Oreochromis niloticus: one gene and its partners. Each later gene encodes a partner of the first gene's protein in a complex. Links are inferred from orthologs where the notes say so. Each region holds a gene or a part of one and is shown on either strand. Other genes may lie near its edges.

Region 1 (6,889 bases):
GTTTTACTAAAAAACAAGACTGACTAAAAGCTTTATTCAGGTTAGACTTATGATGATACACACATACAGCACACTGCATGTATTTAAGTGTGTATCAGTGTATGTATAGTCACAGCACAGTCTTTTCTTAATGAGTTCTGAGGAAACAAACACTTCCACATACTGTATCTATTTCTGTGTTTCAGCTTACAAATACCCTACAAAACAAGTTATTTTGTATTTATTTATTATTGTTAGGTCCATTATAGTTATGTTAAATGTATCTGTGGCATAAACACTAAACAAGAACAAGAATGGATTGTAGATTATTCTTGTTCTATAAATAAAAGCTGAAATGTCATCTGGTGAGGTTTAGTCTACATACTTTACATTTTATCTATCTATCTATATGTATATATGTATGTATATATATATATATATATATATATATATATATATATATATATATATATATATATAGTCCAGCATATATCTATATATATATATATATATATATATATATGTAAGTTTCCATACATAGATTACTATATATTATATTTTAAAATAAATCTTTATTCTTATTATTATAAGTTTACAAACAGCATAATATTCTGCTGGCTCATAAAGACACAGAATTTGCCAAAGGGAACAGTTAGAAAGTATTCTATTACATAACATAATATAAGACCAACAAAAACTTCCACAGGAAGTTTCTGACAATTTTTCTCTATTCAGGAGTGTAAGATTAACTGGAGGAAGTAAGAAAATGCAAGAACAAAATGAAATATATTTTAAACTTATTTTACATAACTCTCTCTCTCTCTCTCTCTCTCTCTCTCTCTCGCTCTCTTTTTACCATTATTTGCTTTTACCATGGTAAAAGCAAATAATGGTAAAAGGAAGTAATTTATGGGATCAACCATCCAAAGCAACAGACATTGCACAAGAGAGGTGAAGAAGAGAGTGCAGGGAGGGTTGAGTGTTGGGGATTTCTGACAGAAGTAGAGCACAGTGAGTGAAAGGGAAGGTTTGCAAGATGGTAGTGAGAGAAGATCATGGGACTAACAAAAACACAGGAGGCCCAGTTGATAATGTTAAGGTTTTCACTGAGAGTGATCAGGATGGAAAGGATTAGAAATAAATAACGTCAGTGGGACAACTCAGGCTGAGAGCTTTGGAAACAATTTTAGAGATGGTTTGGGCAGGGATAATGGATGAAAGACAAAAGATGATGAATATAGAGCTGGCAGGCAGGAGGAAAAGAGGAAGACCTCTGATAAGATTCGTGGATGTAGTGAAGGAGGGTATGCAGAGGGGTGGTGTAACACAGTAGGATTCTAGGGGCAGTGTAAGAGGGAGGCAGGTGATCTGCTGTGGTGATCCCAGAAGAAGATGAAGACCTTTTAACACTTAAAAAGCTTTACCTACATTTGAATTAATTCAATGAAATATATTTGGGGATTTGGGTGATGGTTTTATAATTTTGTTTTATGTATATTGTGTTACTACTGGTGGCCACGTGATGTCGCTAAATAATCAATAATCGTCGGAGTCGATGTCCCATAATCCCATGCGGCTTTTGGCTTTAAACCGGAAGCGGAAGCTCCGTGTTCCTCATAGTTTGAATGGCTTGTGAATGAGTAGTCGAGTGTTTGAGTGAGTGAGTGAGTGCGTGAATGATGTGTGACTGTGTCGTGTCTGTGTTTATTTTAAAAACCTACACACTGATCTTATTTGATCCGGTCTGAGGTGGCTCTGCTCTGACCGGAGATGATAGGAAACGCGCTCGCGAGCCTTCGTGGCGATGTGCAGCCGGCAGAAACTTTCAGGGCCTCCACGCTCCGTGCCGTGGTTAGAGGTGATGAATTGATCAGATATACTAGCTCTGTGAGAGTTTGAGTTCATCTCAAGCTTCGCAGTGGTCAATGAGTACAGAGGCGATTCTGATCTAACCACAGCAGGAGGAACCGTGGAGGAACACGACCTAAAGAAACGGCTGCTCGTCACATACTGCTTATTTTAACGGTTAAGACAAGCTGTGGAAATACCAGGAAAGCTAGGCTTACGAAACGCTAGTTTTCCTGGTAAAAACAAAAACAGTTAGACGTGTTAGTCCTAAAGTTGCTTCTTCAGTCAAAAGCAGTTTTTCTCCCTTAAAGCGACCGATTCAAAGGGAAAGGGGGACAGTGGGAACAGAGCTATACCGGATTAATTCAATCAAGTAATGAAGATCATTTAAGGGCTGACTTCTGTTGTATTTATTTTCAAAGATTGACTGTACAAGCTTTAATTGTTTTTCCAAAAATAAAAAAACGAGCTTGGCTTTAAAATATTTACATTTACGGCGAAACAAGGTTACTAGCAAAATGTTGGAAAATTTTCCAATGTAGCTCTTTTACTTTATGTAGGTGAGTGTCTGAGATATAACTCTTAATTTTGATTACTCGTTCCATTTCAAAGTCTTTAGGAATAAAATACCTTTTAACCTTATTTGGAAAATAGTGTTTCAGTAACGCCTCCAACAAGTTTATTGGAAACTCTTCTGGCACAGAAATCAGTGCCTTGAATATGGAGCTGTCTCAGGCCAGCGAGGAAACCTCACCTGGGGCCTCCAGGAGTCTCATTAACCTTTAGGTTTCATTAATATCCCCACATATAAACTAAATATGATAAATCTGCTCTAGTTATCATCCAACGAATAAAGTGACAAAACACAATTGCCGTTTTGTGTATTTATTTTCTTTATAAAATACTGTCTTTCTCTGTGCATAGTTCTTTAACCCCGAATCAGCACTATGACCTCCTTTAAAGTGCATTTTAGTTTACCACTAATTAAATTGCATTAGTTTTGTGTTAAGTGGTTGCTCTGACCAGTTTAACTGCCTTGACATTTCTGTTTTTGACCTGTGGAGATGTTAATTTGAAAAAGCCCATTAGGCACTTTTCGAATTTTCAAAATGTTCCACTTTGGCTACAATTTGTATTTTAGGACTAAATGAATTTCACAGCTTTTACTCTTATATCAAATGATTTTGAATGTAAGTAAGTCAAATTATAACTTGAAAATTTCTTCAGAGCTTCTTTGTTTTTAGTACAAGATAATTAAGAGAGCAAATGTTTACTTTTGTCTCAATGGTCTCATGACACTTGTAGCTGCACAGTGCGATGGAGGTTTAGCGCTTACTTTTTTACCACTTTGATAGTGGCACATAACTAGGTTCAGACATTCATCTGGTGTCATTTTATTCTCATCTGTTTCACTAATTTCATGTCCTTGGTGTGAAAACTCTTTAATCCGTAGCTCAGCTGTCATGTTGGCATTCTCATCCATTCATGGAGCCTTTCAAAGACATTGGGTGAAAGGTGGTGCACTCCATGGGTAGAGTAAGCATCATACCATCATGCCAAAAGCCACTTCAGAATCACCAATTAACCAAACAAGCGTGTTTTTGTATTGGTTCAAATCTATAACCCTTTTAACACTTTTTTTTTTTAAACTCTCACCTGTATGAGTTCGCACTAATCCATCATACTAATCCTCCCTGGACCAGTATCAGTTTGCATTTCAGGGGAAACTAGTCAACATAGATACACATAGATACATAGATAGGTATAATAGGGTATAATAACATTTAGAACTCCCTATAACTGAACTGCGAACTTCATTAGAAATCTTTCGTATTAACGCTAACACAACATGCATCACCTGCACGTGTTAAATTATATTTTCGAGTATTTTCTACTTTCCTTTTATTTTCTAATATAGTATGTTATCACTTGGAAATCAAACATTTTAGGTGCATGCTGTACGTTTGTCATCGTATGGGTAAAATTCATATCTCGCGATAGCTTTGGCGCTGTGGTCGCCTTTGTGTATACACGTGATCTTTTTGGTCCAACCGGCTTTCAGCAGCAACTGGGCAAAGCGCGCGAGGTGTCTGTCCGTGTGCGTGAACGTGCATGGTTGTCTTGTGGGTTCCCTTTTGGGGTCACCATGGCCGAACCCAGCAAACGACAGAGGCTCAGTCACATTAACAGCAGCTCACAAACTTCGAGTAAAAGCTTATCGAGCATTTTCACGGACAGTCAGGACGAAGGACTCGAGGGGGAGGGTCGATATGTGGAGGGATCCATACTTCGGATCACCATGAAGAACTTCCTGTAAGTTGCTGCTCCTCAGTTGTCATCGGTCAACGTCTGTAAACTGAAACTGCCGGAACACCCCGATTTACCTGCTGATAGCTACAGCCAGATGACCTAGATAGCATATATGCTAACATTTGCCACCAGTATGCGATTAAAAGTTAAACCCTGGGCTCTGTAAACACGAGCAGGTCGTAGACCCACTGAGGGAAGCTGCTGCAGACCGACTATATGGTCCAGCAGCTACAGTTAAGTCCAAATGAGGTATTTTAGTGAGCTAACTGTACGATTTAAGGGGTCACATTCAAGGCGGGTGTTAAAATAGACTCGATATATTAAAGAAGGGGTTCCTCATGATGACTCATTATGTTTCCATTGCTTTCTACTTCAAGGGGGGCGAGAATCACAAGCAGCTCTAGCTTAAAGCAAAGTGCCAAATCCAGCCAGTCAATAAAAATCCTGTACCTTCAGTCTTATAAATTCTGTATAAAAAAACAGGACTTCAAACGTCTGGCAGTGGAGCTTAACAGCGAGTTGCATACATCCCCTTTTTTCAGTCTGTTTCTAAACCATGTTCACACTCACAGATGATAAGTAGCGGTAGATGATAACCTGTTCAGAGCTTCTTTTCCACTCAGAAAACTAACCAAGAGTCAGTTACTGGTATAAATTCTCATCTTACTGTCATCCATACCTGCCTCTAAGTTTTTTAATGAAAATTATGGCAGACTAAGTAAACATTCATTGTTATACAGACTATTCTACATTTATTAACTAGTTAATCTGTAATACATATTTGCATTATTGTCAACTTGCCTCCAAAATTGCAGTAACTGTGCAGGGATAAGAGTGGTTGTAAATAGGTATTTCACTTTGAGTCTGCCTGTCACAAATGTTTAAGCAGTATGAGCAGATGAACAGGTACTGTATGTATGAAACTTCAGGTCTCACTAACAGACAGCCATTTGAAGTGTAAGATAGCAGTATTGCCACTTTTACGTTACTACGTTCATTTGTACTGTTAGTGTAGATTGCAATGATTTTAGGCGAGATGGAGCATCTTTACTCTAAAACACTGCAGGAAACCCCTGATTGTCTACCTTGTACTCACAGGACGTACGACTACTCTGTGGTGTATCCTGGACCTAATCTGAACATGATTGTCGGGGCCAATGGTACTGGAAAGTCCAGCATTGTGTGTGCCATCTGTCTGTGTCTGGCTGGCAAGACAGCTGTTCTTGGCAGAGGTGATAAGGTAAGCCACAGAGCAATACAAGTCATTGATTGATGCACTCCAAAGTTATTTCGGATTTGTTTTCTTTTCAAAAGATCAGAAAATAAACACAATGTTAGCAGACTGGTAAACAAGCTGTAGGTGGTGATAAGCATACCTCTATGAAAATCTTTCATTGCCCTTTTGCAGTACATGTACTGTTGTTTCTCATCTCCCTGCCCCTTTATCAGTCAAAATATGATACTTTGAATTGAGCTCACATAGCAGATACTGCATTTGTTGATGATGATGATGATAATTATTGAATGTTACTTTGTTTTGTTTTTTTTAAAGGTTGGGCTCTATGTCAAGCGTGGTTGCAAAAAAGGCCATGTTGAAATTGAACTGTAAGTTATGTGAAATACATTCCACACGCTGCATTACTCTTTACATGTTTTCAGAAATTCTTCATGAATCTTTTCAGACAAGAAGTTTGAATTCTGAACCCTCATCTTTTCAAAAATGAAAGGAAAATTTGTCAGAAGTTGTTACATCACCTGCATTATCATGTTCAGCATAGTTATATGACTCTAAATGCTACACTTTGTTTTTGTTTTTGAAGGTACAAAAGAGGTGGTAACGTAGTGATTTTTAGAGAGATACATGCGGAGAACAATCAGTCTCTGTGGATGTTGAATGATCGGCAGTGCAGCCAGAAGGCGGTGGAAGAGGAAGTCAAAGCTCTGCGCATCCAAGTCAGCAACCTCTGTCAGTTTCTACCTCAGGTATGTTTATGCCACTGCAACATAAAGCTGCATAGATGCAGCAATATGTAGTTTTATCCCTGTTTTATTGGCTTTTTTTTCCCCATGCAGGAAAAAGTTGGCGAGTTTGCCAAGATGTCCAAAATTGAGTTGCTGGAAGCAACTGAGAAGTCAGTGGGCCCACCAGAGATGTATGAATACCACTGTGAGCTCAAAAACTTCCGCAACAAAGAACGAGAACTGGAGGTAAGCTCAAAGCTAGTGATCCAACAGGCAAAGTTTGATGTTCATTCATTCCTGTTTGTTTTTTAAGTTGTCCTCCTCTTAAAGACATGTAAAGGCGACATGGCTCTTTGCTTCTTTGTAGAACATTGTGAAGGAGAAAGCAAGCTTCCTGGAGAAAGCCAAGCAGCGAAATGAAAGGAATAAACACGATGTAAACCGTTACTACGAAAAAAAGAGGCATCTGGATGTAATCGAGTTGCTCGAGAAGAAGAAACCATGGGTGGTGAGTGGTCTAGTGTAAACAAGAGAAATGAGCACAGTACACATGTGGAGAGAGAAACTGAATTAATTGTGTAAGCTGTTTCTGTTTCCTTGTGATATTAGGAGTACGAGACCACACGTAAGGAACTTGAGGGTGTGAAGAAGGAGCGTGACGAGGCGAAAAAGCAGCTTTTAAGCCTAAAGCAGACCCAGGCGCCCATGGTGAAGAAGATCCAACAGATTGAGGAGCAGCTGAAGCCAACTGAGGCACAGATAAAGGCTAAGGTGACAAATCAAAGGCTGG
Region 2 (7,554 bases), on another chromosome or scaffold:
TAGGCACTCTGGTGGAGTTACTTTCTTTGTGTGTGTGTGTGTTTACAAGTAGGTTTAAACCTTGTGATCCACAAAACAGCATAACAGTAAAAGAAGAACTGACTGTGTTACAGTCAGTGCGGGAGCAGCGGCTTCGCTCATGCGCGATTCATTTGCAGTTTGGACACATACTGTAGGTGTGAACATCTACTACCCTGATAGCAGCAGCGCGAGGACTATCCTTTGCCTGTGAGCGCTTTGGCACGGGCGAGGTGCCCACGGCAGCACCCGGTGCTTGTTGAGAGTAGGAGCGATACGCGCTTTCATGTCAAAAAGTCATCATAAATAAGTCTCCAATAACACCAGAAAAAGTCGCCAGATTTGTCGCTAGTCGCTTTTTAGAAAAAAAAGTCGCTAAGGGGGTCTGAAAACTCGCTAAATATAGCGACAAAGTCGCTAAGTTGGCAACACTGCCTTGCCCACGTTTCTCCCTGCCCATAGTCTCTCTCATACAAAGCGGTGGGGTGACCTCTACTGGCCACTCTAAAAAACTACAGGTGAAACTAACAACTGAACAGAATAAAACCATAACCACGGGGCCTTTTGTACAGTAGTTGTTGATAGTCTTGCATAACAGCTGTAGGTCCACAAGTTTTGTCATTAAAATACAGTCAGGGTAAAAACAGCGTACATTCTGTACCACATAATCAGGACATAATAAAAACGATCTAGCCTGTACCAGGTCAAAAAAAGTCCATAAACACAATCTGAGGTGAACAAGAACAACTCATTAAATATATTATACCTTGTCTTTATTTATTTATTTAGCAAAAATAAAGCAGAAATGTAGAAGCAGCACGTGAAAAACTATAAATATGCTCCCACGAGTCAACAGCTTGTCAAAGCAGCAACAACTCGATATAAATGTTTTGTTTGTTTGTTTGTTTGTTTTCCTTTTTTGGTCTCAGTCTCTCGAGGGGTTACGAAGGAATTTTGCCCACTTCCACTGAAAGAGGAAACGTTACCGTTTAAGTCTGCATTCACAAAGAAATCCCCTCAGATCGAGTTTTATATAAAACTTATACTTTTAAAGTCACAATTTAATTCTTTTTTAAAGAAAGGACAATAATAATCTGATTTTCATTTGTGACATTTTGAATTGAAATCATATTTTTTTGTCATTTAAAGCACCTTGAGGCAACTGGTGTTGTGATTTGGCGCTGTATAAATAAAATTGAAATGAATTGAAGACTTGAGACGTCTGAATGATCTTGCAGAAATAGTGGTGCTATTTTCCAACAGAGTGGACCTAGAGCTGTTATGCAAGACTATCAACAACTACTGTACAAAAGGCCCCGTGGTTATGGTTTTATTCTGTTCAGTTGTTAGTTTCACCTGTAGTTTTTTAGAGTGGCCAGTAGAGGTCACCCCACCGCTCAGTAGACTGGGATTTCATAGCTGTTGGCGAAACAATGTGAGGAAGAGCCCAAAAACTGTGGAGGTAGAGTTTCCCCAACTGTTCACGGTTGTTGTCTGGATTATGAAGTGAAAGAAATAATAATAGTTCGCATAAACAATAAGAGGACAGGACATCACAGATAGTAAAATCCCATTTTGATGCCACTGTCATCTGTGTGAACCATGTTGGTGTGTTGTTTTATGGAGTTTCAACAGCAGCTCCACCTCTATGATAGTTCGATTGAAGTGATCTGAGGCCATTAAAATGAACCCTGTGTTATACACAAGCAACTCAACTAAAAAAGTCATTATATATGTTGTGGATAGGCATAGCTTTGGGTCACGTGGTGTCGGTAATAGTAGTAGTGATTGCTATATCACCTGTTCACGGCTCGAGGGAATTTTTGTGAATGAGTGGGTGATGGGGGAAGTCGACTTTTGCTAACCGCTCAAGCCTAGAATGTTTTGATCACTGTTTTTCTATAGATTTTAAGGATTTGATAACAAATGAAGGAGTTTTTAACCTGGAACTTTGAACAGCGGGCGCGTCAACATTATTCCCCTATTCAGCTGCTCGGCGACTCAAAGGCTTGACAGTCGCCAACAATATTTATTATGCCATGTCTTTAAGTATTTATTTATTTACCAACAATAAAGCATAAATGTAGAAGCAGCATGTGAAAAATTATAAATATGCTCCCACGATTCAACAGCTTGTCAACGCAGCATGTAAATGATGTTTGCCTCAGTCTCTCAAGTCGTTTTGGCACACTGAAAGAGGAAAAGTTAGGCTTTATGCCTGCAAAACTTGTACTTTTTAAGTAACTATTGAACTTTTAAAAAAAGAACGAAAACTAATAATATACTTTATTTTCTTTATTGTACACAAGTCACACGTCTGGATACCGACAGCGATGTCTTAAGACAGATATGTTCACTATTATTAGCGCACCATCTGCCGGTGAGCTCCTGCCTAGTCTGCTGAAGTTAGTTTCATATTTGACTAAAGAAACTGCATTGATTGGTTGTTTCACAGTAAACAAAAAAGTTGACTTTGGATTAATAATCTATGGTTAAAAAAAAAAAAAAAAAAAAATTATACACAAACGTCGTTATTTTAAAACTCGCCCTATTTTCACTGCCTTTCAGAGAGAATGAAAGGCAGTGAAAAAAAATATACATACATACACATATATATATATATATATATAGAGAGAGAGAGAGAGAGAGAGAGAGAGAGAGAGAGAGAGAGAGAGCGCGATGGATGAGCAGTGGATTTGCAGCATATAATTCAGCAGCAGACACAACTCTTTTGAAGTTAGACTTCATTCAGTATCAGGCACTAAGACTCTGCACAGATGCATTTAAAACAACCCCAACAGCAGCGTTACAGGTAGAGATGGGTGAGATGCCACTTGGAAGCAGAAGACAACAACTAACACTTAATTACTGGGAAAATCCACAGGGCCATGGACAGGATCACCCAACACAACCTTGCTGGGAGAAAGAAAGGTGGGTAACAAAGAGCTTTGGATGGACTTTAGGTAGAAGAGCAATAGAACTTAAATTGGACCAGTTCAAGATCAGTCAAAGATTGGCGTTACCAGCAATGCCTCGATCGATACTTTCTGATGCCACCGGGGATTTCACATTATTTGAAAAGAAGAATAGGGATGGGGCATTTAATTTAAACTCACACACAGTAGAAGCTTACATTGACCAGCATTATAATTATGTTTAAATATATACAGATGCATCAAAGAATACAGCCAGTCAAATTGGTGTAGCATTTGTTGTCCCAGAGTTCAAGGTCAAAATAGGTAAAAGGATCAATGATGGAGTGTCAGTATACACTGGAGAAATGCTAGCAATACTGTTAGCTGTTCAATGGGTAAGACATGAGACCGTTAAAAACAGCCATTTGTTCAGACTCAAGCTCGTCATTGGTCAGTTTACAGTGTAGCCACTCAGAACGTAGAGCAGATATCCTAACAGAGGTTCAGCAGACACTTTCTATAATACACATGATGGGACTTAAAGTTGTGTTTCTATGGAGTAAAAGCCAATGAATTGGCAGCTAGAGCTGCGAAGGAAGCCACAAAACATGGGGTAGTTGACCTGGGCATTAGCTTCGGTCAGACAGAGATTGGACGAGTATTGGAGTATTGAAGAGTATTGGACGGCAAGAAATGAAAAAAAGACACCAGAAACAGTGGGAGTAGGAAAGGAGGGGACGGTGTTTGTACAAAATTCAAAGGAGGGTAGGAAAAATGAGGAGGTGGTCATATCGAGAACAAGATTTGGACATGCTGGACTACACTATTCATGATAAGGAAACATAAAACAGGGAAATGTGACTACTGTGGAGAAGGGGAAACGATAGAACATGTCATCTTACACTGTCAGAAGTGCAGGTGGAGAGAAGATAACTGACCCAAAACCTCAGTAAGATAAAAATGAAACTAGATCTTATTTATTTCCTGCAAAAGGACTCTAGAAGTAAAAGTTATCAGGTCTTATTCCAGTTTTCAAAAGAGGGTAAAGAGGTGTTTGGGAGGATTTGAGTTGGGGGGTTTTTTAAGCGACGTTCCAGTCAACACTCCATACCAGTTGGTGGCGGTAATGCACCCTTCAGTTGTTTGCCAACCGCCAAAAAAATTTAGAAGAAGAAGGAATCCAAACTATCTTCGTTCATGACGACTTCTCTGACATCCAATTGGCGCGCCTTGTGTACGTTTGCCTCACAGGTACGTTGAAGCAATTATAATAAAAACTGCGCACGGGTGGATTAGTGACACTCACAACAGGCTGTGTATTTGCTTTTAACCAAGACTTTATTTGGCCGTGGCAGTCAAACGTCCAACAGTTGAGCTAAGCTAAGCGGCTATTGCTTTTGTTAGCTAACGTCGGCTAACGTTGAACATCAAAGATGTACACGAGTAAGGCGAGATATGTAACTGTGCAGGACTTCCGCGTTCGCGTTTGCAGGCACGAGAGGGTTCTGTTTTGTTATCTGACCTGTTAGAGCTAACATGACATAGTAGTCGTTTTCCAAAAGCAACTGTATGGTAAAATTTGCTAATCTGCATTTTATATTATATTTGGGCTGGGTTTACCACGTGTAAGCACTAGCATATGCGGATTTATATCTTGATTTTTTTGTGTCTTTGGCTAAAATTGGAGAAAACCCGTGTGGCTACGTTAGATATATGTACTAATAAAACACCGAGCATCTTGACAACCGAAGCCGTAAACAGACCGTTTCTGTACCCTGTCTCCAAGACTTATTTTAGAAGGTAATAAATAGCCCTGTTCATCGATAGAAACGCGCTTTGTTTATGTTTATTTGATTTCCGTCAGCCTGCTTCCCTTTCACAAAACACAGCCGAACTAGTGCGAGAGTGAAGATGAAGAGATCCAAAGGCGGTGGTGACGAGGAAGCTCCCCGGCAGAATGGCTCAGCGAGCCGAAGGAAAGCAGACCAGCAGCAAAGTGACGGGGACGAGGGTGGCAGTGACATCGGCCCAGCCGACCTGCAAGACGACGACAATGACCAGGGCCTGAGGAGAGAAATCAGGAGCAAATACAGAGACCTCATCAGCTCAGTGCAACGTGAGTGGCAGGTTTGGGGATTGCCAAAGTTGTTGATTTGTATGTATTCCAAACAAATCCTTGATGTTTGTTCTTCTTGTTTTGTTTTTCAGAGAACAGGGAAGATATGCTGAGCCCATCAAACAACAAACTAACAGAGGTTTTAGAGGAAGCAAACAAACTTTTTAAAGATGGTAGGTCTGATACATGCAAATGAATAACAGGCCAGCAGATCAATCATTTAGACCTTACAGTTTTTTGGGGGGTTTTGGTGGCAGTTCGACAGGCGAGAGAAGCAGCCCTGGATGCACAGCTCCTTGTTGTGGCTACAGACCTGGGGAAGGAGAAAGCCAGCCAGCTGTTCTCCGAGGGAACCGCTTTCGATCCCACTGCTTTTGCTGAGCATCTCGTGAGTATGATTACTGTATCATGTCTGTCCTTCAGTCACCTTGCATGAGTGGTCCATACAGACCTTGCAGTATTTCTGTCTGGATTTGCAACTCGAGCTGCACATGCTTTTGTTTTACCTTAAGTTATGTATGGTTAAAAAAAGGCAAGGAGGGCAAAACAAAGCTGACAGTAGTTTGTTTAGTGGACTCATTTGATGGCCAGACACAAACCCCAGTAATCATGAAATGTTAAATATGTGTCTGTAGGGCTGTGCGATATGACGAAATATATCGGATGATAAAATGAAAACATCTATCGTTTCATATTATACGCTATCATTTGTTTCGTGGTGTCACAAAATACACTGTTTATGGCAATATTTTTTTCGTTGTTTGGATGGTCATCGTGTGGATGCAGGCACAGAGAATACCAGCAGAAAGAGTATGGAGAGAGTTTACGGATGAGAAGCAAAAAAAAGAGCTGTCAGGTGCTCAAAATAAACCTTAGACTCAAACATTAGAACAGGCTTTTACCCGCAGCACGGCATGTAATAAATACAAAGGAAATTGCAGCCGTTACAACTTATATCTAAAAATATGTAGTTTAATGCATTGGTCCAAACACTCGACTCCAGCTGAAAACACTTCACACAAGTCGAGTTGCCCGAGATTCACAGAATTTACAGAAAATGCACTATTTTGTCATATATATCATCGGGATGAGAAATGTCTTATATCGGGATATGAGTTTCTGGTCATATGGCACAGCCCCTATGTTTCTTTATGATAACGCGTTAGCTATAGCAGCTTTGTACTAGTTTTTTTTTCCTGTTCATTTAAGTGAATAATACAGACACAAATGCTAATAAATGTAGGAAAATGTGCTTTTTTTTAAACACAACTTTCAAAGCATCACATACTGCAGTGGTCATGTGGCGATGTCTATGTTTCTCTACAGTTGTCGTTCATGGGTTTGAACCGACTAGAAGATGATGAAGACGAGCAGCAGACCACTGCTAATGGCTACCTGCCGCAGGATGCCTGGCACCGATTGGCCAGGAGAGCAGAGTGCTGCTTTAGGACAGCCCCCTCTTTCCACTACATGTGAGTGATTTAGAAAGTCTGTTTACTAGCTGGGACCGCAGTGCCAGGGTTTTTGCCTGCCAACTAAAAATAGACTGATGTTCTGTGAAGAAGCAAATTAATAAGACGGAAGCTTTCTTGGGACAAGCACACGTGGTCTTCTGCCAGTCCATAAAAGTAGAATAAGTGGTTCCAGATTAGCTGCCAGTAATCAAAGCATCCTTGAACAGCCCTGTGCCTTTTCCTACAAACTTTTCATTTCTCTTAATTCTTTTTCTTTGAAATTATTAAGCACAGGAAGGATGTAAAGTAGAAAGATTTGGGAAAGGACAACCACAGTCCTAAGGGTATCTGTTTGCACTTACACTAGGCTACTTAGTAATGTAAGGCTGAGGGCTGCTGTGCCGAAACTACAATATTCTGAGATAGAACTACAAAAAACAAGTCTTAGACACGTCTTTGCACTTTGCATCCCTACCATGTTGTGCAATTCTTGGTAAATGTGGACAAACAGGAGCAAAATATGACAACTTGAAAGACAACTTGTGCAACTGGGTTACAGTTAAGCTTTAACTCCAGTTTGACCATTTTAATGTGTCTGCTTGTTTATTTGCGAGCAGTTTTCTAAACCCACTTTGCATAGTTTGCCACAAGATAACACCTAGGGGTGGGCAATGTAGCCTCAAAACTTGGTTTTGAAACTCCAGCAACATGTGTAGTATAAAAAACACTTTATTACTTGACCAGCGTCTTCCTGGGATGATGATGATATTAGACTCACAATATTGTTACATGTTGAGCACTTCATAAAGTTGGCATGTTGGGATGTTGTACCTTGGTCAGGCTTTGCTATAGTTTATACTGGGATAATATACTTGGCCAAAGAATATGTAAAGACTTGAGTCATTTTCATCCACTGTTTGCTCCTCCTGTCACATGGAGTGCACCTAACAAGTGCTCGAGTGATGCCAGGTTGTGTCGTTTGCTGTCATAGCCTGGGTATACTCAACTTTGTACTTTTGTCTTAAACAAAACAAGTTTATTGTTTCTACCT
Region 3 (7,991 bases), on another chromosome or scaffold:
GTTGGTGTCCTATGTGAGAAAGGTAGTGTATGATGTCATTTTTTTTCTGCTTCTCTTTCCTCTTACAAAAGCTTCTGCTTTGAAATGTTTTGGTCTAATATTCTCTTAGTGTGTAGTCTCATAATTTTAACAAATGAGCTCTGCGTGCTGCAAACCGTTTTTCAGTATCAGTGCTGTAGCAGCTGCAGGAATGATGAATTTTTGAGAAACAATCTGTTTGGCAAATGTACCCACTAAGAAGTGCTTAGTGCATCTGTACCTTGACGTTGTGGCAACTTCTGAGCTATAACTTTATGCTGGAAGATTTTTTCCTTCTGGCTATACTTGAGATCCTTGACCTAATGGATATACAATAAACAGTCCTTTTTTTTAAAATCGTCTTGCTTCCAGGTGCTGCAAATTATCCCAGAGAGCATGTTCACTTCGCTAGCCAAAATAATCAAGCTTCAGATCCACGACATTATGGAGGTGCCCACACGGCTGGATAAGGACAAGCTAAAGGACTACGCCCAACTGACGGCTCGCTATGAAGTGAGACAAACTGTTGTGTATGAAACTGTCTCCTTCCCCTTGAGTTATGTTCAGAATGTCACTGACGTAAAGAAAAGGGAAAAAATATCTTCAGATGTTGTATAAAATAAAATAATAAAAAAAAATAGATAAGAGAGCTCATTTTGTTCTGTTTTGATCTCGCCTCATCAGCTGTATGGGAGTCGGAGGCAATCATGCTAACATTTTTCAATCTGCTCACAGCTTTTGATGTGAAATACAAATTGGAAAAGGAAGCGTGATATGGAAACAGATTGTGCCAGCAGACTTAGTTGAATTGGATTAATTAGAGTGTGAAGTACTGAAGTTACTTTTTAATTTTTTTTTCAGTCATATTTGGAATTGCAGTCCAGTGCCTTGAAATTAAAATAAGATCATTGTAGAATGGAACTTTTTTTGTTTTTTAAACTGAAAATCAATCAAAACATTGGCTTTTATATCAATGATTGACATCAATATTATTCATATATATATTATATTTTTGCATGCCTAAACATCGTTCTGTTCTGTGTCTTTGCAGGTGGCAAAACTAACTCATGACATATCTATTTTCACTGAGGGCATTTTAATGATGAAGACTACTCTCGTTGGGATTATCAAGGTAAATACAGTGATTAAGGTTTCTGAAATTTGAGAACAAAGATTTCTGTCTTTCAGAAGATTAAAACAATCCTGCTGAGGGATTTGGTGCAGTACAGGTTTGCTTTATTAACACACTGTGATGTTTAAGGTGGATCCTAAGCAGCTTCTGGAGGATGGCATCAGGAAGGAGCTGGTGAAGAGGGTGGCTTATGCATTGCACAGAGGCTTAATCTTCAATCCAAAGGCAAAGGTGAGACACTACACCTGCTGTATATTATGGATTTTTAATCTTCAGTTAAAGTTTGTAATATATATTCTGTATGTTGACCAGTTTCCATGTTAAGTTTCCCAATGATATTGAAGGATTAACAGCAGTAAAATAAAATAAAAGAGAAAAAATACTCAACTCTTTCAGCCCAGTGAACTGATGCCCAAGTTGAAGGAGATGGGCGCCACCATGGATGGCTTCTACAGGTCGTTTGAATACATCCAGGACTACGTCAGCATTTATGGCCTTAAAATCTGGCAGGAGGAAGTGTCCCGCATCGTCAACTATAATGTGGAACAGGAGTGCAACAGTTTTCTCAGAACCAAGGTCAAACTTAACACGCTTTCTCCTTTTCCCTGAGTAGTGCACTGAGAGCAGTTTGTCCCTGACTGATAGATAAGAAGTGTTCTAGTTGTTTGGCTGTTTCTCAGTAATAGCAGTTGGCTGATTGGCTTGTTTCTTGCTTCTCTTCAGATCCAGGACTGGCAGAGTGTGCACCAGTCCACCCACATTCCTATTCCCAAGTTTCCCTCTGTGGATGAGTCTGCCACCTTCATCGGTCGTCTCTGCAGAGAAATCCTCCGAATCACTGATCCCAAGTATGTCTCATCGGACATAACAGTGGAAGTGAAATAAGAGTTAGTGAAATTAGCAGAATAACTGAGTTTATATCTGAGGATGGAGGAGAAAAAAAATCTTTGGTTATGCAGTTTATTGATGGTGGAATACACTGGTTCTTCCTATAGGTTGACATGTTACATTGACCAGATGAACACCTGGTATGACCTGAAGAGCCACCAGGAGGTGACTAACAACAGATTGTTCTCTGAGATCCAGAACACCCTGGGTACATTTGGCCTTAACGGACTGGACCGCCTGCTCTGCTTCATGATTGTCAAGGAACTTCAGGTATTTACCCCAATATTTACCTCAGTATCCCCCCAAATTGCACCCCACCCCCCAAAAAGATGCCATTCAGGTCAACAAAGATAAAACCCTGAAATCATGTCAATCTTGGCAGTGTCTTTAGTGCATGTGGTATGGCTCCCAGATTGTAGTGATGTATGTGTTTGTCTCATCAGAACTTCCTGACAATACTTCAGAAGACCATCCTGAAGGACAAAGCTGTGGTGGAGGTCTTCAGAACATTGCAAGGTGCCGTCAGTCCAGTCCAAGGCATTGTGGGTAGGTATTCACTTAGAGAATCTATAACCTGCCTTTTCTTGTACAGATCTCATTATTGTTTTTGTTGCTGTAGCAAATGCCAGCAAAGTCTACAGCAGTGCTGTGGCCAAATCCCAGAAGATCTGGGGTACATATCAGGAAGCCATCATGAAGGTACTGCTCCATGTTCTCATGTTAATGAATAGAAAATAAAAGTAAAAAATTGTCACAATTTTCTGATGAAAATAATAAAATAATAATAAAATAATTTTGAATGCATATGTTTATTGAAGGTTGGTCAGATGCAGATTCTCAGACAGCAGATCGCTAATGAGCTTAACTACTCCTGCAAGTTTGACTCCAAACACCTGGCGGCTGCACTGGAAAACCTCAACAAGTCTGTATATTCTTGCCATAATGCCACTGAGTCGTTGTTTATATGTTTCCATTACTTACCCCCAAGTGCTACTCTGTGTTAATGACTTTTGTGATGGATGCTTCTGCTAATTGCATCATGTCTGTTTTAGTCTCACACTGTTCTTTTATGCTCACTCTGATTATGTTCTTGCCAGGTCTCTGCTGGCAGACATTGAGGCCCATTACCAGGACCCATCCCTGCCTTATCCTAAAGAGGACAACACTCTTTTGTACGATATCACTGCCTACCTGGAGGCTGCTGGCATTCACAATCCTCTCAACAAGGTTTGAACAGAAGGGGCATCTCTTCCCACATAATCAGTTAGTCTTGTTCTGATTTCACCTGAATCGAAATGAGTCTTTTCAATGACGACCACAAATGTAAGCTGTTTTTTGCTTTCTTTGGCTATACATTAGCAGATGTTCGTGTTCAGACTCTTTTTGTTCTACTTATGCTTCACACAGATCTACATCACTACAAAGCGCCTCCCGTACTTCCCCATCATCAACTTCCTCTTTATTATTGCTCAGCTGCCTAAACTTCAGTACAACAAAAACCAAGGTGATTTTTTCCCCCATTAGTTTTTTGTTTGAAGTTGATCAGAGATCAGGTTACACAGTTTTGAGTACAATGGGTCAGTCCTTGCCGCCTCTTCACTTACTTCAGTTGCAGCAGACTTTATTATTTTTCAGAAAGCGGCATTAAATATTATGGATTTGTTTTTCCCCACATTTTTCTGCTAACGCACAGTCCCTGAATGTCTCTGAATGTGGTTTTAATTTGATGTTTTGTCTTATGGTAGGAATGACCTGCAGGAAAGCAACAGACCCGGTCGACTGGCCTCCACTGGTGCTCGGCTTGCTCACCCTGCTCAAGCAGTTCCACTCCAGATACACACAACAGTTCCTGGCTCTCATTGGTCAATTCATCCGCTCAATCATGGAGCAGTGCACAAGGTAGCAAAACAGACTTCACAACTTCAGAAAGATTTCTAAAATAAGATTCGAAATCAAATATTCTGTGTGGTAGGTTTCCTTGGTGATGATTGCGGATTGTGTTACCGGACATAAAATGTATCTGGTTATAGCCTCATGAAATCATATTAAAGCTTCCGTTTGATCCTGTTATAGTCAGAAAATCCCTGACATGCCTTCTGATGTGGTGGGAGCTCTGATGTTCCTTGAAGACTACGTGAAGTACACAAAACTGTCACGTAAGGTAGGTGCAACTTTCCCTATATTATTTGTATTAGTGTTTGAAAATATTTTAAGTGGTTGTAAATGATAAGAGTTGACAAAGTTGACAGTACCCAGGGGTAGTAGTAGAGCTGAAATGTTGAAACATCAATATGCTTAGGAGCATTATTATTGGACAGCCAGATTTAATACCCATCAGCTATGGGAACAGATTTTAAAATACTATTTTTTGCATCTGTACTGTACTATATTTGTGTAACAGTAACATGTATTTCCTTGTGTTTTCTGTGTTTTTAAGGTGGCGGAAGCTCATGTGCCCAGTTATATTTTTGATGAGTTCAGGACAATACTGTGAAGATATGGATGAAGATTTTCATTTAAACATTCGGGTTTTTTGCCGAATGTTTTTCCACTGCAGACATTTTGTCTCAATGTAGTGACTGCACAGGTGTTACTAATAATTAACAACTGATTTGTTAGGTTTAAGTGCTCCAGCAAGCGTGACCACAGGTATTAATACTATTTTATTATTATTCACTGTGCCTATTCTACAGTGATATGTCAAATGTGGGGCCTTTTGATTTGTTTACTTACATTTCATTGTGCTAACTATCAGTGTCTTGCACTTACAGATTGTAAATTAAAAGAACATTAAAATGCAAATAAATCACTCTTACAACTTTATGTACTAAGATTCTGTGCCATTTATAAATGAAATGGATTAATAAATACGTTTCTTTCTATTAAAGAAGCAGTTTTGTTTTCCTTCCGTTTAAACATATTTTGTTAAAGCTTTTACTTTGAAAAACCATACCCGGAAGTTAGAAGTTAGCTTCTGTTGTGGCTCCGTTTTAGCGGGTGATTTGTGTGCGTTTGTATAGCATCCACAGTTTCTATAGTTTATTTACGTTTCGCTTGTTATTTTTATACTAAAAGCATTACTGAAACAGATTGTACTTGACGTTCATGTAGGTGTCGGTCATTTTGCCGGCAGAACTAGATACCTGTTAGCAAGCTAGGCTAACGTTATCGTTAATAGCACATTAAATTTAGCTCTGGTTTGTAGTCCCAAAGTAATAAAGGTAGCTTTCACAATGTCTCTGAGCGCTGTTCACGGAACTCTGTCGAGTCTGAAATCCTGTCAGGCTGACATCGGGACAGGTATGGACATTGTGACAGACGTGGCTATGGACCTGGCGGAAGCTCAGGGTAAATATTAAAGATTTTCTAAAAAAGCTCACCAACTCCATCTATAATCACTACATTATTTATAAACGTTAAAATATATCTGGTAAGCGAATAATTAATGTTTTTGGGTGCTTTAGATTTGTTTTTAAGGTTTATAACTAATTTTGGAGCGTACATTTAAAGTACTTTGCAAAAGACTTGGGCTACCCATCATTGGCTAAAAAGGAGCCAGACCTTCGTAATGTTTTCAAAATAGTCTTGTGCAGCAGTTCTTTGGGCTTTCTGGAAATGTTGCAAGGATTTTCCTTGGACATTGACTGCTTTTTTATTGACCATTTTTTAGGAATGTTTTTCATTCTTTGTTAAGCCATTGAACACGGACCTATGAATCACTTTAATATTAAAAAACAGAATGCACCTACCTCAAGGAACCCAGTGGCATGTCTACATATATTAAATAACTTAGCAAAGAACTGATTTTAAGTTGTATCATTAGGCACTTTGTGTTTTTGCGACAGGCGGCTAGTAACATTTTTTTTTTTTTTTAGTTGAATCTATGAAGAATGCCAGAGATAACACAATTGGACAGACATTACATAGGATTTTTGCACAAACAAGGTGATTCCCAAAGAGCTGCTAGCTGTTTGTGTGCGTGTGTGTTATGGTGTGACTGCTCAAGTGAATACTTCTTTGGTGTGCTTTTATGTTAAAGATGACGAGATGAACCCGGGCATCAAAGAGATGGAGGCCATGATTCTGGAGTGTGCCAAGCTGGACAGGGAGATTAACTACTTTGTTGATGTGGTGCAACAAGTCACAGCTGAGGTGAGAACAGCCTGAAGGTTTCCTTGCATTAGGCGACAGAGATAACGGATATTACAACAGTGTGCTTAAACTTTGTTCATTGTATAGAAAGTTTTGATGCACCATTTGTAGTGTAGACCCATCAGGTGATCCCTACTTGACTCAAGAGGAACATGTCATTATTGTCTTTAAATAATCATTGCATTGTTAATGCTGCTATTTCTGCATAAAGTGAGAGCTGTACATTAGAGCTCTTAAATGTGACACAGTTATAAACATAATGACTCATAATGGAGTCAATATAAAAGTCAGTTTAGTGACATTTTTTCAGCACTTAAATATTTTCAGTGATAATGGGGAATAGAGCAGAAAGTGTGCCATGGGACCACAACACACACACATTGTTCAGCGGCATCTGATTCTGCCTTTACTAACATACAGCTCAGCAGGTTAGATCACATCGTCAGGAATGGCTGAACATAATCTTGTGCAGAGTGCAGCATAGGTCACCATGGTGACGTAGCCGATGAGTTGGAAAACTCTTAACACTATGTTCAGAAGAAGACGCAAACCTTGGGCATTTGTGAAGCATTTCTGAATTAAATACAAATTATTGCAAATTATATAACACATTTCAATCACTGTAGGTTACCACTCAACAGCCGGAGGCTATGTTCAGCCTGTCTGCCAAAGTGAAGGAGCAGTTCACAGAGAGAATAGCCCGACTCTCTGATGCTGACCTGCACACTCACCAGAAAGTAATGGCTTTCAAGGAAAGTGTCAAAAACTCTTTCAAACAAGGTAAGGCCTGTGGAGAGACGGGAGAGATTTACTTGAATTAGACTCACCGCAGTGCATTCAGGACTTCTAATGGACTTTGATAATAGCAGTGCTATCGGAGGACTTCTTGCTGAGCAGAGAGATCTTGGGATGTGCCTTTTTTAGGATAATTAGCTTCATTTTAAAACACGCAGCTTCCTTTGTTTACCGTTGAATGATTGTTTCCCTGTCACCCTGTGGCTGTTATTTTCTGCTTTTTAACTCTTACTAATTACAGCTATGCCGGCCTCATATAGTGCCATGCTTTTGTGAGTCTCTGTAGGAATTATAGGCTACATTATGCTAAGTATAATGTTATTTTCACGAGCTGACTCAAAATGAAAATGTCTGAAAAAAGAGCCAAATGTGAGAACTTACTTTGAAGCATGAACTTTGTGAGCCGAGGTGATCATTGCAGTGTATTCTGTGAGGGCTTAGCCCATTGAACACCATTATTATTCACTGAATTAGTATTACTTCATGTTCCTGTTAAGGGATACATTTTGAGGTTTCAGATCTGCTTGCTTAAAGGCTGAAATATAAATATGTTGAATAGCATAATCATATGGAGAAGTTTACAAAGGCCACATATAGAGAGCAGTTTTTAATACTTTGGGCTCAAGTTAGCCTTTGAGTTCTTCAGTAGTTGTAGATGTGCCAGGACAACAACTGTAGATATGAAATTTATTTGCAGACTAAAAAAAAAAAGATGTTGTGTATAAAGTTGGGGTGTGCATGTGTGTGCAGTAAACGTTGGTGGATGGTGGTACGTACTATCAAGTTGATTAATTTTTTTACTCTGAGTGGACAAATGGAAGCAAACTGCATGTGCATTGTTTGTTTTTAGCTAACCAGGAGTCAGCAGAGAGCATGGAGGAGCTCGATGAGGACATCGCTGTGACACAGAGTCAAGTCAACTTCACCTGCCCACTCACACAGGTAGATTACTGATTAGATTTGTAGATTACAGGTAGATTAATCCAGTGTGTTTTCATGCCTCTGT
Region 4 (7,086 bases), about 19 Mb from region 1:
CGACCTGTGCAGGTGTGAGCTTCTCCAGCCCTCTCTGCACCTGTGATGTACTCGGCTGAGTGAAGGCCACGTCATCATCCTCGTCCTGAGCCACCAAGTTGCCGGTGTGTCTCTGTGTGGGAAAAATGTTGTCTGAAATCAGTCTCCATGAAACTCACTGAAACCCTCAGATTCTGCTTTCTTTTCTGTACGGTAACTTTGACTTTTATAGGCTGGCTGTGCAAAAGCTCTGGGAGAAGATGGAGACACGATAGGGTTCTTGCAATAATCGCCAAACGGACAGACCTCCAGAGGGTCAACGCCAAAAACCATCAAGTCCAACCAATCAAAGCTACTAGGTCTCAAAGAGAAGGAGCAGCAATCAATGAGCTCCTGGCCTCCATGCTGCCCCAAGCATCTGACTGCATCAGTCTGAGACGAGGTGGCAGTGACGCTACATTCACACTCAGCCTCCTTTGCTATGAAAAAATTTCCCGACAACGTCAGTGCCCTGTTTCTTTCAGAAGATCGGCTTGGAGCACACGCAACTTTAAAAAAAAATCACTGGGAAGAGAGATCCAGCAGCCGAAACCAGTTCAGGATGGTTATGGTTGGTCTGAGCTCGCAGCCGGAACCCTCCACAGGTCAAAATCTTGGCTTTGCTGCTACGCTTAGACCTCAAAGTCGCAGCCCGTATATTGATGTCAAGAAATATAACACAGTTTGGCCCTTAAAGTGACTTTTTCTGTTAGGGAGGATTTGTTTGTTGTTGAGTGCAATGTTAAAATACATTTTTCTAATGATTTAACATGAAGGTGATATGAGCAGAGAGCACAAACATGCTGAGGGATCGGCTGTGTTAGTTCAGTGAGAGTCACAAACTAATGTGAACATTTGTGTCTGTGTTTGTATTTTGTTACATACGAACAAAGTGTGTCTGTCCAGAAATAGAGGACTGGTGTGTTTATTTGGTAGTTCAATGAAATCTTCAGTTAGTTTGCAGTTTTGTCTTGTTATACAAAATTGGAATAAAAAATAAAAAACAAACAAAATGCTACACTTTTGGAAATATTTGTTTGTGTTTTCTTCTTGTTTGTTTGGTTGTTTTGTACTATTTGAACACTAAAGTGAGATGACAGTGCCAGCAAGTTTGAGACCCCTGACTTCGACGAAGTGCCGATGACCCTGAGGTACCCCGCTGAAGATGTGGAAGGGTTTCCATTAAAGTGACATTCAGACTACCTCACCGCCATCAGGGACCGGCCTGTTCGTCCAGCTGCTTCAGCGGTTTCTGCTCGTGGCATCTCTGATGTTTGTCAGCCTTTGTTTATGGAAACCATGCAAAACATTTTCCAGAGCAAACATCCAGAGAGCCGGAGCTTGCTTCTGTCCCTCTGCGTCACAGACATTAAATTACTGCACTTAAATCAAACTCTATATCCCATGATGCTGAAGCGCCTACAATTGGGACACGTGGAGTGGATGTAATATTAGTTTGGCTTCAGTTTTTTTTTTTTTTTTTAAACAGTAGTTACAGTGGTAATTATTTATCAAACTACTCCTGTGAATATTTCTTCCATGCAGGAAAAAAGATTCACAGTTTGAATCTTTTGTCCTGCGTGGGTCACTGTTTTCCAGCTGCAGTGGTTTTGATCTGGACGTGGTCTCGAGTTCACCACTTTACTCTAGCGCTTCTCATTACTGTAACACTGCAGACACTCGGAGTGAAAAGGATTTCTTCTGTGGTAGAAATGAAGGACTTACTCTCTGAGAGGAGCTCTGTGTGCTGGACGGTCTTTTCCTCTGCGTCATGGCGACACACCGCCTGATAAAGGAGACAGGTAGGGTGAACAGATGTCCCTCTTTAGGTTGGACTGCACAGTATTTTTCTTCCTGGCCCCCTGCGCCACATCTCGAATGGTTCTGCAGTACATGCACTTTTCTAAAGTCTGACTTTCACATACACGAAGGGGAGGCGGTTTATCATTATCTGAAGATGATCAGCCTGTCACCAAAGGTCATTCTGTTTGCAGCTTTGCAGGAAATTATGGTGTGAGGTGATACAGCATGTGCATCATCACTGGATTAAAAATGGTAAAACTGTCAGATGTGTCTTGAAGAAGGTTTGTGATTCAGGGATACATCCCAACTGGAACAGAGGAACTGTCACCAGACAGAAGAGCAACTGAAATAACAGTGAAGCCAAACACAATACAGGAGTATTTAAGGCCATGATGTATTTACAAAGGAGGAAAGAATTATTTGACCTCATTCCTAAATTTATAAGTTTGCTCTCCTACAAAGAAACAAACAGTCTAATTTTTATGGCAGTTTTATTTTAATAGAAAGAGAATCACCCACCCCCCTTCCCAAAAAAACCATTACATAAAAGTTATAACATAATTTGAATGTTATTGGTTGAAATATGGTTGAGGTCATCCTGTACCCTCTGCAGGAAAGCAGCCCACAGCATGTTTCAGCCTCCGTGATTGGCTGTTCCGTCTCACTCCATTAAAATCAAACTACTGTAAAAATCAGTTTGTTCATTTCTTTGTAAGCGAGCAAACCTAGTTAGATCTGAAATTTCAGACTCAGCGCTGACCTGTCCCACACAAACACAGTGTTTACCCCACATTCACTTTGTTGGGACCTGATCACCGTAGCTACACCGCGTGTGTGTGTGTGTGTGTGTGTGTGTGTGTTTCTCTGTGTGTTTCGGCGCGTTTTAAACGAGAAAGTCTACAGGCTGAACAAAAACAACAACCCGGAAGTGGCCACAGATCGTTTACGCGAAAAGCAGAGCAGAGAGCGTTGCTAACTACGTGCCCTAAAATACTTCACCCGGAGTTCCCGGGATACAGCGTGGCTAACAGAAGATTCACATACTCTGTATGTTTTAGAAGATGACTCACTTTGATCCTCCACCGGTTCCAAACGGTCAAATTCCCGCTAATGGGGCTTGTAGGCGCCTGCTGATGACGTCATTTGCACTTGCCGCTTTTCCTTTCCGTTTCATTCGACAGAAATGTCGTTGGTTTCAGTCATTAATTAAATATAAATTGATTGATTTTATTTATTTTTTCCCTGTGACAGTTTGAAGGTTTATTATATCGAGAAAATTATTTTTATTTTACAAATTCACCAGAATAATAATGTTCATTAGTTTACGTGTAAAAAGGGACTAATTTGCATAATTACCAATGAACAGAAATATGAACGTTTGATAAAGACATAAATAATCACATTGATATAACTTATGATTAAATTCATTGCACAGGAGGACCCACGTGAGGAACTACTGGAATTTATTCTACAGACTAGCATATTTAAAATGAAACTAACAGAAATCCAAGATGAGCTTCATACTTCATTTAGTTAAATTGATATATTTTTTCAGACCTCTGCACCTGTTGACTTTTCGTCGGCTGTTAGCTTCTGTGATTGGTAGGAAGAGCACATGTGTAATTTTGAAATGAGATTATTAACTTATAATAAAACTTTTTATAATAAGTTAAAAAGTCTTCTCGGTATTCCATTGGAAAGTGTACCAGCCTCTGTATGAGATAAATGTAACTGTCCATACTGAAGACGAAGCTACAGACCCTTTCATCCGACTATGAATACCTCCATGTCATCCTCTGGATGAGGAAAATAATTTCCATTATTATTACTTTTAAAAATTATATTTAAAGTCCCATGTTTATTGTTGCACCAGTCTGATATTCGAGAACATAAAAATTGCTGAAAAAAAAGTGTTTCAATCTTAGAAATTCTGGATTTGAACAGTTTCAAAAGTAAAATACTGTATGTACTTTTAATTCATCACCATTTTTAATTGTCATCTTAGACTGTTTATTTAGGCTAAACAATGTGCTACATGAGATTTTAGAGTTTTATTGAATAAATGATTTTATAGGAAAATATGCAAGTCACAGTAATTAACGTGTGAACAAGAAGCACAAACATCCACCGAGGCATCTCGCTCTCTGGGCAGTACTTACTGTTAAGGGAATAATATTCTATTTTTCTATAAACATGTAAGAGTGGATAACTTTGTAAACAACCGGATATGAATAACTTGAGGTTATTATATAATAATAGAGCTCTCTCTCTCTTCCTCTTGAAAATACTTTCCTTAAAGATTGAACACATTTTAGGATCAATAAAGGCAGAAATGTAAAAGTGAGGTCAGAGGTCAAATGTAAGACAATATTAGATAGATAGATTAGATTAGATAAAACTTTATTAATCCCTTGGGTGGGTTCCTCTGGGAAATTCGGTTTCCAATAGCACAGCACCGACAGAAGTTACAGAACGTGAGCAGAATACTATATATACACATATATAAATACAGACATATTTAAATAAAATATATGAAAGGGATAAATAGAATAAATAGGAATAAGAATACAAGGGAATTGCACATTTCAAGTATTGAAGTCTATTGCACCGTTGGATATTAGCAAAAAGTATTGCACAGTGAAGTGAAGAGGCACTGCAGCTTAGTTGTTCCCCCCTCCCTTGTCCTCCTGTTTCCCCTCCCTCTCCCCTCCAGAGAGGAGTTAAACAGTCTGATGGCGTGTGGGACAAAGGAGTTTTTAAGTCTGTTGGTTCTTGATTTTGGGAGAAGCAACCTGTCACTGAACAGACTCCTCTGGTTGTTTATGGCTGTGTGCAGAGGATGCCCAGCATTGTCCATAATGTCCATCAGTTTCTTTAATGTCCTTTTCTCTGCCACTGTCACCAGAGTGTCCAGCTATTAGGATGCAACTATGATGTGAGAATCCCCATATACCAGTATCCTTTCCTTCATGTAGCCAGTACGAACAAACAAGCAGAATCTTAAGCACAGTTTTAAAGATAAAAGACGTTTTGTCAAAGTTTGATGTTATTTGACCTTGAATAAGAGGTCAGAGGTCCAAAGTACCACAATATTTACAATCCCCATATATGATTCCCTATTTTTATCCACTTCCTTGTTATTGTTGTCAATATAAACAATGTGAATGAGAAGTTTAAAATAGCCCTATACAGCATTATCATCATTTTGACCTTCAGCTCGATCCACTGACCTTGAAGGAGACGTCAAATGTGGCGTATTTTATATGTTTTATGTTACTTTGTAGATCTTGATGATACATACCACACTTTTGGGAATCATAGTTTCTTTTGGCCATTTTCCACCAATAACTCCTGAAGATGACCTTGAAGACGCTGGTGGATGGAAGCTGAATTTCAATGGACGGTTAACATGACGCCATCTGCAACCCTGCAAAGTTTGATCTGAATTTATTCAAAACTCTCGTGTTTTCAGATGGGATGACACGCAAACACTGCCGAAAGCAGAACCTCCTCAGCAGAGGTAAGGAAGTCCTTTCAGCAGTGAAGGACCCTCAGGTGTACTATTGCAGTGTAGTATTTTTACTTTGGACATTATTAAGAAATCAAATCTTTCGTCCTGTGAACACCAGAGGGCGCTGTCTCCCCTGTTTCAACCTCACCTGTGAATACACCTGCGGCAGATTTTTATGAACTACAAAAATATAAAACGCAGTGGTTTAAAGTGCGCCATATGACTAAAGCAAAGAGTTTATGGACATGTGAAGGGGTGACTGTGAAGATAAATTATTTACAGGAAAAAACTGTTCTTCTCGTTTCCGCTCAGCTCTGAGAGACAAAGTCCACGGAGAGACACACTTAGACACACACAGACAGACCCACAGACAGACAGCTGACAGTCGCACACTCCCCTCCCGGGACAGCGGCGGTGTGAGGTGGTGAGGTTCCCCGGCTGTGTGCTCGGGCCATGCGGGGTCAGCGGGATGGAGGAAAAGCCCAGAGTGTCTCCGTTCAAGAACTTCGTGGCTGGGGGTGTCGGAGGAGCGTGTCTGCTGCTGGCCGGACACCCACTGGACACCATCAAGGTGAGAGCTGCAGCCCCAGCCGAGCTTCAACGCAGCTTATTTAGATCTTTAGACACAAACATTCAGTCCACGTGTGTCCGTGTGGGGGGGTTCTCAGGTGTTTAATGTTTCTGAGGAAGTCACAGGAAATGTCAGAGATCGTGTAGGTGCTGAAGAGATTACCGACAAATCAGCTTAAACTGTTGCCGAGGCGGCCACCTGAACACGGAATAATGAGGCTGCTCAGAGCCTGCGGGAGACTGTCGAGGAAATGTCACAGCGTGGGTACAAAGTGTGCAGCTCAAACTCACGAAGTTAAAATCAGATTTATGACATAAAACAAAGTAATGCCATGAAGCATCACATTTATTGAACACATCACAACAATTAGCTGGAAACGTCTCATTATTCTCACTATAGCATTTTCACCTTTTTAAAAAACAAACAAACAAACTTATAACTTAGTTTTTTTAAGTAATAACTGCAAATGATTTGTGTAACTTTATTATTCACATATAGTAACTTTGAATGTGCAGAAACATATCGTTACAACATGTACGTTATTTTTAATCCAGATCTTTTTCTAATCTATCTAAACCACGTCAGTGTGTTTGTGTGCGACACACTGAGTCTTTGTGAAGATACAGTTTGATCACATCATCATCACAGTAACCGTCACATGAGCGCAACACCGCCCTGTTTATCGGTGACAGAGCAGCAGATGTTAGTGGGTGTCTCCTCCTGTCTGACAGCACTCAGCAATCCTCCTGTGTGTGTGTGTGTGTGTGTGTGTGTGTGTGTGTAATTCTTCTTATTTAAACTGTGTGTTTCAGGTGAGACTACAAACACAGCCCAAAGCCGCTCAGTATGTGCTCTACACAGGAACGTATGACTGCTTACGCAAGACCGTATCCAAAGAGGTGAGCGCTTTCTGCTTATTACAGCGGACAGTCACACAGACCAGAGCCAATAGTCAGCTCTGTTTTCAACATGTGACACATCAACTGAAGTACAGACACTTCAATAAAAACTAGAAACTCATTTAAAATCTTGTGTGTGTGTGTGTGTGTGTGTGTGTGTGTGTGTGTGTGTGTGTGTCAGGGCATCCTTGGTCTCTATAAAGGTATGGGGGCTCCCCTGGCAGGTGTGGCTCCTATGATGGCCATCAGTTTCTTTGGGTTTGGTCTTGGAAAACAGCTCCAAC

Evidence for each region.
Region 2: smc5 (region 1) and nsmce4a share a complex: the UniProt entries of both Homo sapiens proteins name them as parts of the SMC5-SMC6 complex. The link is inferred for Oreochromis niloticus from reciprocal best matches to the Homo sapiens genes SMC5 and NSMCE4A.
Region 3: smc5 (region 1) and nsmce2 share a complex: the UniProt entries of both Homo sapiens proteins name them as parts of the SMC5-SMC6 complex. The link is inferred for Oreochromis niloticus from reciprocal best matches to the Homo sapiens genes SMC5 and NSMCE2.
Region 4: smc5 (region 1) and ndnl2 share a complex: the UniProt entries of both Homo sapiens proteins name them as parts of the SMC5-SMC6 complex. The link is inferred for Oreochromis niloticus from reciprocal best matches to the Homo sapiens genes SMC5 and NSMCE3.

The regions. Positions count from the first base shown.
Region 1 is NC_031984.2:20,747,959-20,754,847, forward strand, and holds the start of smc5 (structural maintenance of chromosomes protein 5), read left to right. Parts: upstream 1-3,878; 5' UTR 3,879-3,973; coding exon 3,974-4,140; intron 4,141-5,235; coding exon 5,236-5,377; intron 5,378-5,689; coding exon 5,690-5,742; intron 5,743-5,957; coding exon 5,958-6,120; intron 6,121-6,210; coding exon 6,211-6,345; intron 6,346-6,466; coding exon 6,467-6,607; intron 6,608-6,708; coding exon 6,709-6,870; intron 6,871-6,889. UniProt on the Homo sapiens protein: Core component of the SMC5-SMC6 complex, a complex involved in repair of DNA double-strand breaks by homologous recombination.
Region 2 is NC_031978.2:22,361,975-22,369,528, reverse strand, and holds the start of nsmce4a (non-structural maintenance of chromosomes element 4 homolog A), read left to right. Parts: upstream 1-4,535; 5' UTR 4,536-4,572; coding exon 4,573-4,733; intron 4,734-4,797; coding exon of another isoform or gene 4,798-4,822; coding exon 4,823-5,049; intron 5,050-5,141; coding exon 5,142-5,222; intron 5,223-5,306; coding exon 5,307-5,437; intron 5,438-6,375; coding exon 6,376-6,521; intron 6,522-7,554. UniProt on the Homo sapiens protein: Component of the SMC5-SMC6 complex, a complex involved in DNA double-strand breaks by homologous recombination. The complex may promote sister chromatid homologous recombination by recruiting the SMC1-SMC3 cohesin complex to double-strand breaks.
Region 3 is NC_031976.2:11,176,943-11,184,933, forward strand, and holds the start of nsmce2 (E3 SUMO-protein ligase NSE2), read left to right. Parts: upstream 1-4,972; 5' UTR 4,973-5,271; coding exon 5,272-5,386; intron 5,387-5,913; exon of another isoform or gene 5,914-5,928; coding exon of another isoform or gene 5,929-5,983; intron 5,984-6,077; coding exon 6,078-6,190; intron 6,191-6,816; coding exon 6,817-6,970; intron 6,971-7,835; coding exon 7,836-7,927; intron 7,928-7,991. Other genes in the region: washc5 (WASH complex subunit 5), read left to right, coding at 1-22, 391-531, 1,070-1,150, 1,280-1,381, 1,547-1,726, 1,874-1,998, 2,146-2,308, 2,482-2,584 and 7 more. UniProt on the Homo sapiens protein: E3 SUMO-protein ligase component of the SMC5-SMC6 complex, a complex involved in DNA double-strand break repair by homologous recombination. Is not be required for the stability of the complex.
Region 4 is NC_031984.2:1,639,407-1,646,492, reverse strand, and holds the start of ndnl2 (necdin-like 2), read right to left. Parts: upstream 3,004-7,086; 5' UTR 2,892-3,003; exon of another isoform or gene 2,866-2,891; intron 1,805-2,865; 5' UTR 1,792-1,804; coding exon 1,744-1,791; intron 113-1,743; coding exon 1-112. Other genes in the region: si:dkey-150i13.2 (mitochondrial carnitine/acylcarnitine carrier protein), read left to right, coding at 5,802-5,903, 6,716-6,802, 6,984-7,086. UniProt on the Homo sapiens protein: Component of the SMC5-SMC6 complex, a complex involved in repair of DNA double-strand breaks by homologous recombination. The complex may promote sister chromatid homologous recombination by recruiting the SMC1-SMC3 cohesin complex to double-strand breaks.